2 linked regions of the Danio rerio genome follow. The protein of the gene in region 2 interacts with the protein of the main gene of each other region in a biochemical or structural test. Links are inferred from orthologs where the notes say so. Each region holds a gene or a part of one and is shown on either strand. Other genes may lie near its edges.

Region 1 (8,231 bases), on a different chromosome or scaffold from region 2:
ATCAATAACATATTTGATCAATTCAGTAAGTCTCACCTATTTACACTAAATATATTCATAATAACAGGTAGGAAAAGAATTACAGTGAACTGGATGAAGACCTGCCAACCTACTTTGACAGAATAGACACAGAGGTTGAAACGTGTGTGTATATATATGTATATGTGTGTGTGTGTGTGTGTGTGTGTGTGTGTATATATATATATATATATATATATATATATATATATATATATATATATATATATATATATATATATATATGAGAAAATGACTGCAGATTTGCAGTTAGACTTTTAGACTTCTTCCAACAGACCTGGGCATTAATCGAAACATACATGCTTGATCTTTGAAAGGGTTTCAGGGGCTTTGTCTTTGTCACAGTTATTGCCTTTATATTGGAGTTTATTTATTTATTTATTTATTTATTTATTTATTTATTTATTCTCCCCCCCCTCTTTTAATTAATTAATTAAATTATTATTTTTTTTGTTTTAAAGCTGTCACTATTATTTATATATTATTATAATTTATATCAATTATTTTACATCTATTTGTTTCTTTTCTGTGATTGTAAACATTATAAGTAAGTGTTATTCGTATACTATGTTTATAAAAACTTTAATAAAAACACATTTAAAAAAAGAAATTGTCTTATAGATGCACAGTTAAATAGACTTTTTTGCTAAACACGTTGAATCTCATATACAGTTAAATATATATATACAGTACATGTGTGTGTGTGTGTGTGTGTTTATTATATATTATAATATTATTTATTTATTTATATATTTTTTTCTGTGCTGTTTAACAGAGAGAAGATTTTGGCTATACATTTTTAAACATAATAATTTTAATAACTAATTTCCATTAATTAATTTCTTTCGTCTTTACTAGTTATTTTGCAAGATGCTAGCATTAATAATTTCCTTGCTCTCTTAGACAGCGCTTGGAAAACATCTGAAAAACCGTTTCAGGAGAGCTACTAATTTGTACCGTAGATATTCCCTTCTACCTGAACAGTACTGTTACTCTATCGCCCCCTTGAGGTTTTTGACTAGTATGTACAGTATGCATTGGCCAAGCATCCACATCTGTTTTTGCATACATGTGTAAGTATGTTTCTGTATCAAAATGTTAAACAAAAAGATCTCTAAGGAGAAATATCAGGCCTGATGTTTTGATCTGTGTCCCAGATGCTGAATCCTTGAAATGCCCCTGCAGTATATTCTCATGTAGTCAACATGTTGAAGTGAAAATAGCATTTTGATCACATTAAGGATGTTGACATTAACCTCTACAATCGTTGTTTCATTAAAATAATGTTGGTTACACTTTAAGCTACAATTCTCAAGCTATTAATAAACCAATAACCATGACAATTGCTTCATTAAATTAAAAATATCTGCTTATGGTTATTTAAACAGTTTAGGGTAGGAATATAGAACATTTTGAGAAATGTAAACAAAAACAATGGTCTCAACGTATTTCCTGTTTGCATTTTTCATGTCTATAGAGTCCAAGAATCCAAAAAGAGCCACATGTTGATAAATAATGTTACTGTATGTTCAAACGATAGATCTGCAAAAGAGAAACTACGAGTTTTGGGAAACAAACATCGTTCTTTTCCCAAATTATGCATCCCTGCTGAAAAATCCAGCTTAAACCAGCCTAGGCTGGTTGGCTGGTTTTAGCTGGTCGACCAGGCTGGTGGTCAGGCTGGAAAATGACCGGCCAAATCCAGCTAAAACCAGCTTGACCAGCCTGGTTTAAGCTGGATATAGCTGGTTTTGGCTGGACTCCCAGCTTGGCTTGGCTGGTCAAGCTGGTTTTAGCTGGTCATCTCCAAGCCTGACCAGCTAAGACCAGGCTGGAAATGGCTGGAAACCAGCCTGGAAGTGGCCAAAACCCCTCTAAAACCAGCCTGGTCGACCAGCTAAAACCAGCCAACCAGCCTAGGCTGGTTCTTTTCCCAAATGATGCATCGTACTATGATAGTTTAGCCACGAGTTACATCGATGTTTGGGAAACGCACCCCAGGTTTGGAACAAATTAAACAGACTTTTAATTTTTGGGGTGAACTATCCCTTTAAGAGGTATTTCAATAGGAATAAAAATATATTTATAACGATATACATAATATATATATATGTTATATACATGTATACAGATGCATCCAAACACTACCTACAGCCACACTTTGCAACTTTCATCTCCTCGTAGAGATGTCGGACGGTGATGACGCCTTTTTCCTGGTACATGACGGCGATTGGGTCCAGCTTGGTCGGGACGCAACATGCCATGTTTGCTTTCTTTGGATTGCTGAGGTTAACCAGTGTCTGGATGACTGCATGTCTGGATGGGCTAACGTCATCAGTTAGAGGGAAATAACACACACCTTTGCACTCATAAGCGTCGTATTCCGGCGGCGCAACGATCCATTTGTCCCATCCGATGTCTTTGAAATTGACCTTGAGGGAAGTTCTCCGACAATAATTGTTCTTTGCTTTCCTCTTTCTCCTGCGGTGTCGGTTGCTCACTGGAGCTTGATTTCCCACTTGCTGTTGTTCACGCACAAGCATCTCTTTAACCTTCCTCATCGACTCTTCCTTCCGGTTTCCGAGATCATCAGAAAAAACAATGACGACCGCAGAGCTGTTGTCCTCTAGACTCAGACTTATATCGAAGGAGTCACAGCTATGTTGGACTTCAACCTGAATTTCCCCAGCCCCACGTCTAGATTCATGCCAAATCCTGACGGCTCCGGTCACATCAAAAGCCTCCCACGTGTTTATGGACTCTCTCACGTCTCTGCCATCCAGAAGGTGTAATATTTTAGCATTCTGCTCGTATTCTACATCATAGACGTTTATGGATGTGAAGAGATCGTCGCAGGCGGGTTTATGTCTGTGCCAGAGAGTGAACAGACGTAGCTGGACTGAGGTAATCTCTTCGTGATTTGGGATGGAAACGTTGAATAGCAGCCGGTGTTGGGTTTTGTTGCCTTGTCTGATGGAATAAATAACATCTGTAGAGTAGACAAAAGGGAGCTCAGTGAATTTTACCATTAATTTGATGTGTTAAAGATCTTGTGAAAAGGATAAGAGAGGCCAAAAAAATATTACTCAACCGCCAACTGTTCCGCCATATGTTTTACACAGCCGCAACCCAGTACTGGGAAACACACATGCACTCACACCCTACAGCCAATTTAGTTTATCCAATTGCCCTATAGCGCATGTGTTTGGACTGTGGGGGAAACCGGAGCACCCGGAGGAAACCCACAACAACACGGGGAGAACATTCAAACTCCACACAGTAATGCCAAACTGACCCAGCCGTAATTCGAACCAGTGGCTTTGTTGCTGTGAGGCGACAGTGCTAACCACTGAGCCACCATGCCGCCAATGTTCAATATTACACTTTAAAAAAAAAAGTCCCCTTAAATTCACTGGATTTCTGGTCATTTTGATAGCCAGTAATAGTTTAAAATTTACAAGAAGAAACAAAAAATTAAAATGCGTTTAATAATTATTGTAATTTTTACAATATTTCTATCTGGTTCTCGAATCTGATTGGCTGATAGTCATGCGATATTCCAAAATAACAGCACTCATACAGCCTCTTGTGTATTACTCCGCCCACATAGGGACGGCAGATGAATAAACGCACTAAAGATCGACAACTGACTCTCAGAAAATTGCTGAAGGAGACGAAAATCAGCAGTTCATTTAAAAAAAAAAAAAAGGATTATTATGTGTTGACAAAAGTCAGCTCATTCATGAAAAAAGACACCACTGTTATGACTTTAAATTACGGCAGGAGAATTTCTTTAGTTATAAATAATAAAAAAATATATTTTTAATATAAAAAAAGCACAATTATGCTTTAAAATAAGTTTACAAAACAACTTTTGTGAAAGATATTCGATAATGTATTAAAAAGGGATATTCACTGTTTCCTCACACCAAATTGGTTGTAAACTTTCATGAATTTTTCTTCATTTTCATAAATATATTGAAGAATTCTGCGGGGGGGAAAACTGACTTTCATAGTATTTTTATATGGATGTCAATGGCTGCCTTTTCCCCAACATTCTTCACAGTTTTGTATTCAACAGAAGCTCATATAGTTTTGGAGCACGCAGAGCAGGGATTACCAAACTTGTTCCTGGAGGGCCGGTGTCCTGCAGATTTTAGCTCCAACCCTAATCAAACACACCTGAACAAGATAATCAAGGTCTGAAGCTGCTTTTCCTCCCGTAGACTTCCATTCATACTCGCGCGAATGTGTCAGACCAGCGTGATCTCACGAGAAAACGTAAGTATTTAACGTTTTGGCAGTTTAGTGGCTAATTCGTACGAATTTGTACGATTTCAGTCGTACGAAATGATACGATTTTAAAAAGGAGGCGTGGCACCTAACCCCACCCCTAACCCCAACCGTCATTGGGGGATAAGCAAATCGTACTAAATTGTACGAATTAGATCGTACAAATTCATACGAATTAGCCACTAAATGAAAAAGTTACGAATTGCCGTGAGATTGTGTTGGTCAGACCGGAAACGCAAGGTCATGCGTCAAGTTTCGCAGGTTCCTACGGTGCAAAGTTCAAGCTTGGTGAACTCTGACCTGCGAAATCGCATCACTTGACTGCGTGAGACCAATTGAGGATCAAAACATGACCTCTCTGAACAGATAATCTTGTTTATTCCCGCCCCTTTTCGCAGCGTCGTACCACAGAATTTTATTATCAAACTCTAGTGTGACCGCAGCTTTACTAGGTATACTTAAAACACCCAGGCAGGTGTGTTGAGGCAAGTTGGAGCTAAACCCTGCAGGCCAACGGACCTCCAGAAATGAGATTGGTGACCCCTGACGTAAAGAATAAGCAAATGATAGTAAAATGAACATTTTTGTGTGAGCAATCCAGTTAAAACTCTTGTTATTGTCCACCGCTGCTGGTTCCAGTATATATCACCTAATGAAAAGTTTCCTCTGATGGTACAATCAATCAAAGAAGCTCTTTTAATGTGTGTAATATTGAACAGATCCGCCTCAGAGATTGTGAGCTCTCTTTATGTGTACTCACCCTGAACGACAAAGCTTCGGATGACATCCGACCGAGGGATGGAGTTCTTGTCAGAAGCGTATCTATTATAGAGTTCGATCATGAACTGAGGAGGCTGAACCTTTCTGTGTTCCTGCGGCACGCCTGATAAGTTCAGCTTCCTCAAAAAATCTTCCTTCATAAAGCCTAAGAAACTCTCCACCTTGTTCAAGTCATCGTCTTCAACCAGCTTCTGCTCTTGAATGAACATTGAATCTTCCAAGCTGCCAGCGTCACCTAAAGATTTCTCTTCGGTAATCCTAAAAACAATGGACATCAGAAGGAGCAAATGTCCTACGCGCCACATCTTCTTTTAGTTCCTGCAGCGATAAGTGACTTTGAGCAACAAGTTTTACATCTGACTTTGGTTTGTGGATGATGCTTTGAAATCGGGGTTCCTTAAGTGAACCTCAGGTTTACTCCCATGCCCCACGCTAAGCTCTGGAAACCAAAATAGTAGCATAGCTATTATCTTTGACACCAATGTTGTGGTTTGGACTTGGTTATCTGGAGGAAGCGCGTAGTTAATGAGCGTTCTGTAAACACTACCAGAACGACTAATGAGTGAGATTTTGACAGGCTTATTTACACGGTCAGGCTCTGTTTTTATAAAGGCAACTCCATCACTTTGAATTTGTTTGTGTTTATGTGTAGGATGTCTCAACTTATCAGCCTCGGAAATGATAAATATTAACATTAAAGATTCCAGCGCTCTCTTTAGTTTGCATTTGGTTTCATTTTCAGGTTGTGGAAAGGGTTAATGGGTCTAAAAGTTGACCGTCGCCCTCTTCCCTGTTTCCAATACAATTCATCAAGTCTTTATTCGCAATAAAACATATATATTTTAATAAATGGGCAAATCCAAACTATTAGAATTTTAATAAATATTTATATAATAACCATGGTTCAAGGTGGCTTAGTGGTCAGCACTGTCGCCTTACAGCAAGAAGGTCACTGGTTCGAGTCTCGGCTGGGTCAGTAGTGACTGTGTCTCCCTTATTAGCAAAGTACGTTAGTCTTGTTTCTGAACCTGCCACTACGCTGACACATAGGCATCTGTAGCTCCGCCCTTTTTTAAAAACAGCACAATCTCATTTGAATTTAAAGCGACAGCCATCAAAACGCCAATATTAGTATCAAAGCCTAAAAAGGGTCCGTTTCAAAGAGTTAGAAAACATTATCTGTTTGGTATTTTGAGCTGAAACTTCTTACACACACACTCTAGAGACATCTGAGAGTTATTTTAGATCTTGTAAAAAAGAGGATAATTTCTGGAAGTACACTGAATGCTAAAATTAAAAAAAAAAATTATTTTTTATATATATATATATATATATATATATATATATATATATATATATATATATATATATATATATATATATATATATATATATATATATATAAATTATAAAGTCAGAATTTCCGAGTTCTTTAACACTCTATCTATGGCCAGTCGGCAGTCAGGAAACTCATTTATACTTCGCAATTCTGATTTAATTACTTGCTATTCTGACTTTAACTCACAATTCTGAATTAATAACTTGCAATTCTGACTTAACTCGAAATTCTGACTTAACTCGGAATTCTGACTTAATAACTTGCAATTTTGACTTTATAACTTGGAATTCTGATTTAATAACTCACAATTCTGACTTTATAACTTGCAATTTTGACTTTATAGCACGCAATTTCAACTTAACACGAATTCTGACTTAGTAACTTGTAATTCTGACTTAACTCTGAGTTTTGACTTAACTCGGAATTCTGACTTAACGTGCAATTCTGACTTTATAACTTGCAATTTTGACTTAATTCGGAATTCTGACATTATAACTCGGAAATCTGACTTTATAACTCTGAATTCTGACTTTATAACTTGCACTTCTGACTTTGTAACTCGCAATTTTGACTTTATAACTCGCAATTCTGGCTTAACAACTTGGAATTCTGACCTAAAAACCTCGCAATTCTGACTTTAGAACTCGCAATTCAGACTGTATAACAGAACTCTGACTTTATAACTTGGAATTCTGACTTTAGAACTTGCAATTCCGACTTTGTAACTCGCAATTTTGACTTTTATAATTCGCAATTCTGACTTAAAAACTCGGAATTCTGACCTAAAAATTCACAATTCCGACTTTATAACTCTGAATTCTGACTTTAGAACTTTTTTTTGAAACTTTTTTGTGAACTGTTCCTTTAGTAGAAGTTTATTTTTTTTATAATATCAACTGCATTCCATAAACATATACTAATATTTTATTTTGATTTGCTGGTGTCTTATTTTACATCTTGTCATTATGGGTCCCCTTAAATATAAAATCAAATCACGTTGAACAAAATGTTTAATCACAATTCTTTCAAGTGAACAAACACATCAACCAATGTTCACGAATGAGACATAATGCAGAATATTACCAGATTTATTTACAGAAATGCATTTAAATCTCTTTGTCCTTAAATTCACCATGTATTCGTTGCAAAATGAGTCTTACCTTAAGCAAACTACAGTATGTCACAATAAGGATTATATACAGTTCATTCAAAATGAAAGAGCGGACAGAAAATACAAAGTTTGTGTGCAAAGATCCTGTATTATCTGAGGTGTTGAGGTCTTATTTGCAGACATAAGAGTTTGTTTTTGTCATATGACGGCAGTCCCTGTAGCAGAGTTTACTGTTTTGCAGATTATTTATCCGTATTTCCATTAGTGTTTCTCGTTTATCGACAGGCGCAGGTTTCCACAGACATGCTGGGATAGATCTTCAATAGCATATTCCTGCTGGAGTCCAGGAAGAGTACGGCCAGAGAGCTCATCTTATCCGGGACGCAGCACGGATCCGGGACTCCAGGAACAATCCCAACCGCTCTCACTATACTCTGGATGGTCGCATGATTGGATGGATGGACAACCTGCATTATGAGAAAGAAAGTCAAGGTTGGAGGATAAAGCCGTGAAGTATATAAAAATCAAAACTAAACAGATTGATTGCGTTAGCTTGCATTGCTAGTTTTGTGGTGAACAATTCATCAGCTCATATCATTAAGAAAAAATAGTTTACCCTTGTAAGCTTCAAGTGAAATCTGAAAATGCACTTCCTGTTCGTTTTCAGCT
Region 2 (7,805 bases):
AACCTCAGCTGGATCAGTTGGCGTTTCTGTGTGGAGTAGGCATGTTCTCCTTGCATTCATCACTTGGCGTCATCACTCTGTCTCCTCTCCACCAATCAGCTAATGTGTGGTGGGCGGTCTGGCGTAATATGGCTAGCGTCGTGACATCTAGGTTGATTCCCGCCAAAAATGTGTAAAGCGCTTTAAGAGTGTTTTCACACCTGCCTTATTTAGTTCGATTGAATCGCACTAGAGTTCGTTTCCCCTTTTGGTACAGTTCATTTGGGCAGGTGAGAATGCAGCAATCGTACTCGAGTGCGCACCAAAAGCGGACCAAATAAGCGTACCGAGACCTGCTTGAAGAGGTGGTCTCGGTACGCTTTCAAACAACGTTTTGGACTAATTCAGCTGCCGTAGGCCGATGCGCTGTGCATTATGGGATATGGAGGAAAAATATTTGTTGACAGCGCTTTACCAACAGAGAGAGAGAGAGAGAGGGGAAAACATTACCTGATGGATCGTTGGTAATATTTCCGCAAGATGACCATGTTGCAGTTTAGCTAAATTAATTTACGCCTCCTCCTGAAGTGACGAGCGACGCATTAAACACTGTTTTCAAGCCGCGGCCGCGCTTCATTTTCGTAATGTATAGTTTGTCTAAAGCAGGGATACAATCAGCCAGCGCAGTCGTCCCTCCAGAGTAAAAGGTTTTGTTTACCTGCGGGAGTTCACTGGCATTTTCCCGCACGTGAATTGTGACCAATCAATAAGCAATTTAGGAAATATGTTCAACAACATCTGGCCAATGAGAGATGTGGATTTTGTCAGATGACTGCATTTTGGTTCGTTTCAACTGGTTCGGATCAAAGCCAGCAGTGTGGTGTAAAAACGACCCAAAGACGGCAGAAAATGCAACAATGTATCATTTATTGCGCTTGGTCCGGACCAAATGAAGCGAACTACAGATGTGAAAGCACCCTAAGTGTCCAGAAAAGTGCTATTTAAATGTAAGAAACTATTATTATTATGATGATATTACATAGTTTGTTGTTGTTTTCTTTTGACAGTATATGTGATATTTTCCATTTGACATGTTTCCTGCCATTTCTTTGATCAATTTTTTTAATTCTTGGTTCCGTGATATTGAAATCCATCTGTTTTAATTAAAAGTCTATACACATCTTCACCTCATTTGATTTAACCAATGCAATATAACATTTGTAGGAACTTCTCTGCTGGAAGGCAGACACCTAAAGTAGGTTCTGTCCTTGAACACTCATCCACAAACACTGAAGACCATGAAGGTGCTGATAAACCACTCCACAATGACACCTCAGTGGAGCAAACCTCAGCAGGAGGAACTAATCCCGCAGAGAAGAAAAAGAACTGCATCAACTATGAGTGGCAGCAGGCCCAATCACGACAGTCTGGCACAGAAAGCTCCTCCGCTACTCCTGTCTCAGAGTCCTGCAATGCCACGCATCCTCCACCAGTGGCCACCAATCTCTGTGCTCAGCTGACACGAGAAGACCTGGAGATACCAAAACTCGACCCGAGCGAAGTCCAGAGGAACATGAGAGAGAGCTCGGACGAGAGCCTTATGGAACATTCACAGAAACAGTTCTGCTCTCCTGAAACGTCAGCCTCCCACGGCCCGTTTTATCCTCTCATGAAGATGGTTTCTGAGGTTTCGGGGTCACAAGGATCCAGTAGGCATGGGGACACCCCTATAACCATCTTACCTAAGCAGCAGAACGTCCCTAAGAGACCCAGTAGCCTCAGTCTCCACGTAAAGCCTGGGAAAACATCCACCTCGACGTCTTCATCGCTGCGGATGAAGTTCGGAAAGCTTGGAAAGTCAAATCTGAAGAAGGTTGAGATGGGTGTGGCTAAAAGCAGTGTGGTGAATGCGACGCATGAAGCCCGGCTGATTACAGTTGCCAACAACGATGCGGCGGCAGCAATGAATAAATATGCAACAGAACCAGCAGCCGAGTCAGCAGGAAGTTCAGCCAACGAGGACTTGACCTTCGGCCTCTTAAACACCAGTCCCGATGAGCAGGAGCCTCTGCTGAGAAGAGAGGCGCATCCTGACAATGCAAACAACAACAACAGCAATAACAACAATGGTGAGGGAGATGGTGATGGAGAGACAGAGGGTGGAGGAGAGGGAGGAGAGAACAATGAGAGTGTCGGTCCGACAGGGGATGCTTCGTCGTCTTCTACGGTGGAGCCGGTTGTGCTGCCTGGCCCGTGTTCTGCTTCAACCGCCATTCCTCCACAGGCCCAAAGCCAGACACAGACACACGGAGAGGCTCTGCTCAGACAGAACCGAGTGCGCAGACCAGAGAGACCCAACTCTCTGGATCTGTCCATCACAACACTGCCATTACTAGGTGAGATTCTCATTTCAGCTAATTTTACCATTTTAAGTGCAATTTACTTGTTTTTTTTTTTATTTGTGGGACCAAAGAGGTTTTGTAAAACAGTTCTGATTCTGGTTCTGATTAAACAGTGATTCAGCTGATTTAGGATTTGTAAATGACAATTGGCATTGAATGCAAGATTAAACGTTAATCTAAATAACGTTTATAAAGATAAATGTTGCAAAAAACATTGTATACTTTATACACAATGCTATTTATACTCCATTTAACTATTTAATTTTATATACTGCTGAAGACAAAACTATTAACCTTTCTGTGAAATTTTTAATCTTTTTCATATACAATGCTTCTGCATATTTTGCTCCATTTCTCAGTGAATAAGGGCAATGTATTTAGGTGCATTTAAACAAAACAGATTTATTAATTAAAAGTATATTTTAGTCAGCAAACATATTTAGAAATAGAAAGATAATTCAATTAAATTCAAAATATTGCAAAAAAAAAATTACAACCTTCAAAGTTTCAACTAAACTTCATTTAATATTTTTCTGTACCATATAAATTTAGGTGTACTAGTTTTTGGACCCTTTTCGTAAGTTATTTTTTTTAAATAAGCTCCAGATTTGTTCTCAGTGCTGACTAATCTAATGTATATGCACAAATATAATATTGTTTAGCTTCCTAATAAAATATGAATTTAAAAGAGAGATTTGTGAGGGGTGTACTTATATATGCTGAGCACTGTATTTACCAAGTGCTGTTCAATGGATGGGCGACGCAGTGGCGCAGTAGGTAGTGTTGTCGTCTCACAGCAAGAAGGTCGCTGGTTCGAGTCCCGGCTGGGTCAGTTGGCGTTTCTGTGTGGAGTTTGCATGTTCTCCCTGCGTTCGCGTGGGTTTCCTCCGGGTGCTCCAGTTTCCCCCACAGTCCAAAGATATACAGGTGAATTGGGTAGACCAAATTTTCCGAAGCGGATGAGTGTGAATAAGTGTGTATGGATGTTTCTCAGCGATGGGTTGCAGCTGGAAGGGCATTTGCTGCGTAAAACATGTGCTGGATAAGTTGGTGGTTCATTCCGGTGGGGCGACCCCAGATTAATAAAGGGACTCAGCCGACAATAAAATGAATGAATGAATGTTTAATGGAGAGAAGATTTCTTCAACACATTTTTCAAAATAAAAGTTTAAAAACTATAACTTTAATCTTTGCCAGTTTACTAGTTCTTTTGCAAGATACTAGCATTCAGTTTAAATTGCTATTTAATTAGGTTAACTGGGCCAGCTAGCTTAATTAGGCAAACCATTGGACAACACTGGCTTGTTCTAGCCAATTAAAAAAAATATTTTTAAAAATATTGACTTTTTTATTTTATTAATTTATTTTTTAATTCTAGCTTAAAATAAAATACAAATAAGCCATACAAAGAATATTTTATAAAAATTATTTATACTTTACCCTTATTATCCGCTTGTTAAGTGTGACGTCACACGAAGCTGCTTTCGGGTCCGAACGCTCTATTCAACTGAATGGGGAGACTCATGAAATGGTAATAATAAACGTTTACAAAGCGATTTAATACTTTCGAAAATCACGATCGCAATATATATGGCCATGCCTAATATCCAATGGCCAGAAAGTTATTAATTTTTTTTAATAAATTGTTTAAATTTTGAAATTTGTTAAGCAGAGATTGTTGTGTACACTATGACTTTATATAAAATTAACTTTAATGTGTGATATAAATAAAAAGTGATCATAAACAAATAATTCCTCAACTCGAATGAGTGGCAGCTTGGACCCGGAAACAGTATTACATACGTCACCAACACGTCACCACTTAACAAGCGGATATCATCATCATAAGGAGCAGTAGGGCTGGGCGATTAATCAAAAAATAATCTAAATCGTCATTCAAAACCTATAATCGATCAAATTTTTTCAAGTAAATTTTTTCAATTACTTTCCCTAACGCCCGTGGAGTCATGTGACCCCGCTCTGATTTATCCTTCTGCTTCGAATGCACGGGTGTGGTCTGGCGCAGCCTTCGTGAGTTCGTATGCCTGCGCACCTCTTTAAAAAATGTAATTACACATTGCACGTTTACACTACATTGGCGATGATTGGATGCCGTGCCAAAAAAATCTTGAGATGGCATATTTTCCAGTACAAAAAAATTATTATTTACATTAAAATATATGTTTGCACAAGATTCAAGATATGCATTGTTTAAAACATTATACACAGGATATACATAGTTGTTTTATTTAGAAGAGACACTGCTTATTTTCTACTTTTAATAAGAAAAACAATAATATTATATATATATATATATATATATATATATATATATATATATATATATATATATATATATATATATATATATATATATATATATATATACTTTTTTAGTTATTTATTTTTTTATTATTATTTTTGCTTTTTTAAGAAAGAGTGACTGTTGTAGGCAATGTGTGTTTTAATTTCAGTTGTTTGACGTTGAATCAAATAACCATAGATAGTAGATAGTGTGTGTTTTCTTTAATTATTTTATAATCAAGTAATGCACCCCTCATTCAGAAATCTCTCGCTTGTAATATTTGAGCTTATTTACTGTACAAAACTTGTCAGGGAACTATAAAGGCCAAAAAATAAAATACATTTAGATAATCGTTTACCGAGTTAAAATGTTTAGTTAATCGAGATTTTGATTTTAGGCCAAATCGTCCAGCCCTAAGAAGCAGTCATACAATTCATTACATTTCGAATCGCTTAAAGTGTGAAAGCCATATAAATAGCACACTTATTTATTTAAATAGAATATAATTCAGTGTTCACTCAATATTAAAACATTCCTATTATTCATTCAAATACATTATAGATAGTATAAATCAGGTTTATGCTAAACATAGTTGTCATTACAATATTCCTATTAAAGTCTAGTTTCAGGTAACGTTAAAACCAAAGATAGAACCACATACTATTGTATTGTAATGTCATAAATAAATGAGTCCTAGCTTTCGAGTCATTCCCTTCACTGCCTTTTCTTAAAAAGAAATGTTATCAGGGTAAACTATACATATGGTTCACCATGAACATCTTGCTTAATATAAAAGATTTTGAAGATTAGCGAACAGGCTGTCCATTCATTAAACGACAAGATATTTCCTCTCAAAAGCTGTTCATTCAGAATAATGAGGCCTCTTCCCATTGACATGCATTGAGGCGTCTGGTCTTTTTTGCCACCTATTAACAGACCAGAAGTATTAGCATGTGTTGTGTCTTTTTGGCTAATGGTTTTCAGCATTTTTTAAATGCTCTCACAGCCAGTTTTTGGCAGAGTACAGGTGTTTTCAGCTGCGCAGAAACGATTCGGTGGACACACATCTTTATATGTTATAGAGGACAATTTGTTAAGTGTAGTATGTTATAAAGTGTCACAATCGCCAGCGATCTTGTCCATACTGATTGCTGGAGAACTACAAATCTTCCACCAAAAGTACTACAAATCCTGTCATGCACCACACACTCACACCTGTTCCACCTGTAACATTATGAATCTTTAACTTTAGCCACCTGTACAGATCTCTTGCCTTGTTTTGGGCACTCTTTGTGGATTGCCATTTTTAATTCTGTTTGCTCCTGTAATCGACCCTTGCCTGCCTGACCATTATCTGTCTGAATAAAGTCTCTGGATTCTCACCTCCGTTGTCAGCATCCTTATGTTACAGAAGACTCGAGGCTTACTCGGCTAACATCAAAAATCAACAAAGCAAAAAATCAAACCACAGGAAGGCAAGGAGAAACGCTTCGTAATGCTACAGGTAGAACAGGTGTAAGTGTGGTACATGATGATGAGGATTTGTAGTTCTTTTGGTGGCAGATTTGTAGTTCTTGAGCGATCTGTATGGACTAGATCGCTGGTGATTTGAATTTCTACACTCAAAAATGACTTTTTGTGCTTCGTTCAAACTACTTATTTAAAATGAGTTGAAACACAATTATTTTTTTTTCAGGACAAATTAATTGTTTTATGTCTAATCCACTTACACTTGTAATAACAATTAAGTTCACTTAGTTGACAACATGAAGGAATTGTGTGGAAGCCAGCATTTTTTACTGTGTATCTTGATGACATCACGAAAAAATGGCAGCTGATGGTCAGGAAGCAATGTTTTTACTGATATGCACCTTCTCTACAACACACACACACACATAAGATGAGTTTAAATGACACAGTCTGGCAGTGTGGCTATCATAACAGTCTAAAATATTATGTAGACTATCTATGATGGCATGTAACACTTTCCAAAGGCATTTTTGCCAGAGCGTCATAGCTGAAACATGATCATAATGACTTTTTGTTTGTAAAACCACTTTGTTTCTGAGCAACTGACACATAATTTCTTTCTGCTCATATTTCATGAATGAGGCCCATTGTTTTAGCCGTAGAAACATGATCATGTAACTTCTCGGTTCGCCCACAGGAGGCAGGTCTGTCGGCGATGGGACAGAGGGGTCAGGGGATAAAATCAAGAAGCGGGTAAAGACGCCTTACGCACTTAAGAAGTGGCGTCCTGCCAGCTGGGTTATCACCACTGACACACTGGATGCCGAAGTCAACAACAACAGTCGTCACGGAGGAGGCCTCGGGCAGAATCAGAATCAGGCTGGGACCAGCAGACCTAAATCAGCTTCGGCTGTCTATCTAGGCAGTCGAGGAGGATCTCGCTTCTCAGATCCTAATGACTGTGACTTTTGAACTTAAAAAACAGGGTAAATCCTTGTTAACTCTGTAAAAAGGTCTGGAGACATTAGTGGATTGAACCATATACATGTCTTAAACTCAACCCCAATCATAAGCACAGTAAGACAATTATTGACTTTATATTGTAAAGAGCTATGCAGCCATCTTCTTGTTCGTTTTTGTGTTAATCAAGCCACTTTTTGTTGCACTTTTTTTGCTAGAAGTTCTCAATCAAATCATTTTGACCATTCAAAATGGTCATTTATTCTTTTTTAAACCAACGTCACATTCCCCAGGTCATGGAAAATATCCTGAAAATATCAGGGAATTTTAAAAGTCTAATTATTGAAACATAACAAAACTATAACCTTATAGTGATGTAGGGAAGTTTCCAACCTATTGTGGATACGTACCCTTGTCTACATTTCTGGAGAGCGCAAAATACTTCCCAGGAGGTACGTTTTTTGCAGTTTTTGTTTTCGCGAATCTACTAGAGGCCGCTGTGTACGCCTTTTCAGGTCTCAGATTTATTTAGCAACTGCCATTCGTGCCTGCCCTTCTTTCGTAAATCCACCAGACGCCGCTGTCGACTGACTGACTTGACCGACCAATCCCCCCACCCTCCTCCTTCCCTAAACCCAACCGATTGTGTTTACAAAGCACCGATTAGCCAGCACACTATCATCCCTATG

Evidence for each region. The genes of interacting proteins can lie anywhere in the genome.
Region 1: the proteins of bmpr2a (region 2) and gdf2 form a complex in vitro, tested with the Homo sapiens proteins (2 studies listed by BioGRID). The link is inferred for Danio rerio from reciprocal best matches to the Homo sapiens genes BMPR2 and GDF2.

What each region holds. Positions count from the first base shown.
Region 1 is NC_133187.1:3,041,779-3,050,009, reverse strand, and holds gdf2 (growth/differentiation factor 2 preproprotein), read right to left. Parts: upstream 5,418-8,231; coding exon 5,093-5,417; intron 3,029-5,092; coding exon 2,184-3,028; downstream 1-2,183. Other genes in the region: gdf10b (growth/differentiation factor 10), read right to left, coding at 7,838-8,029. UniProt on the Homo sapiens protein: Potent circulating inhibitor of angiogenesis. Signals through the type I activin receptor ACVRL1 but not other Alks. Signaling through SMAD1 in endothelial cells requires TGF-beta coreceptor endoglin/ENG.
Region 2 is NC_133181.1:13,756,655-13,764,459, reverse strand, and holds part of bmpr2a (bone morphogenetic protein receptor type-2a), read left to right. Parts: intron 1-1,203; coding exon 1,204-2,375; intron 2,376-6,853; coding exon 6,854-7,128; 3' UTR 7,129-7,805. UniProt on the Homo sapiens protein: On ligand binding, forms a receptor complex consisting of two type II and two type I transmembrane serine/threonine kinases.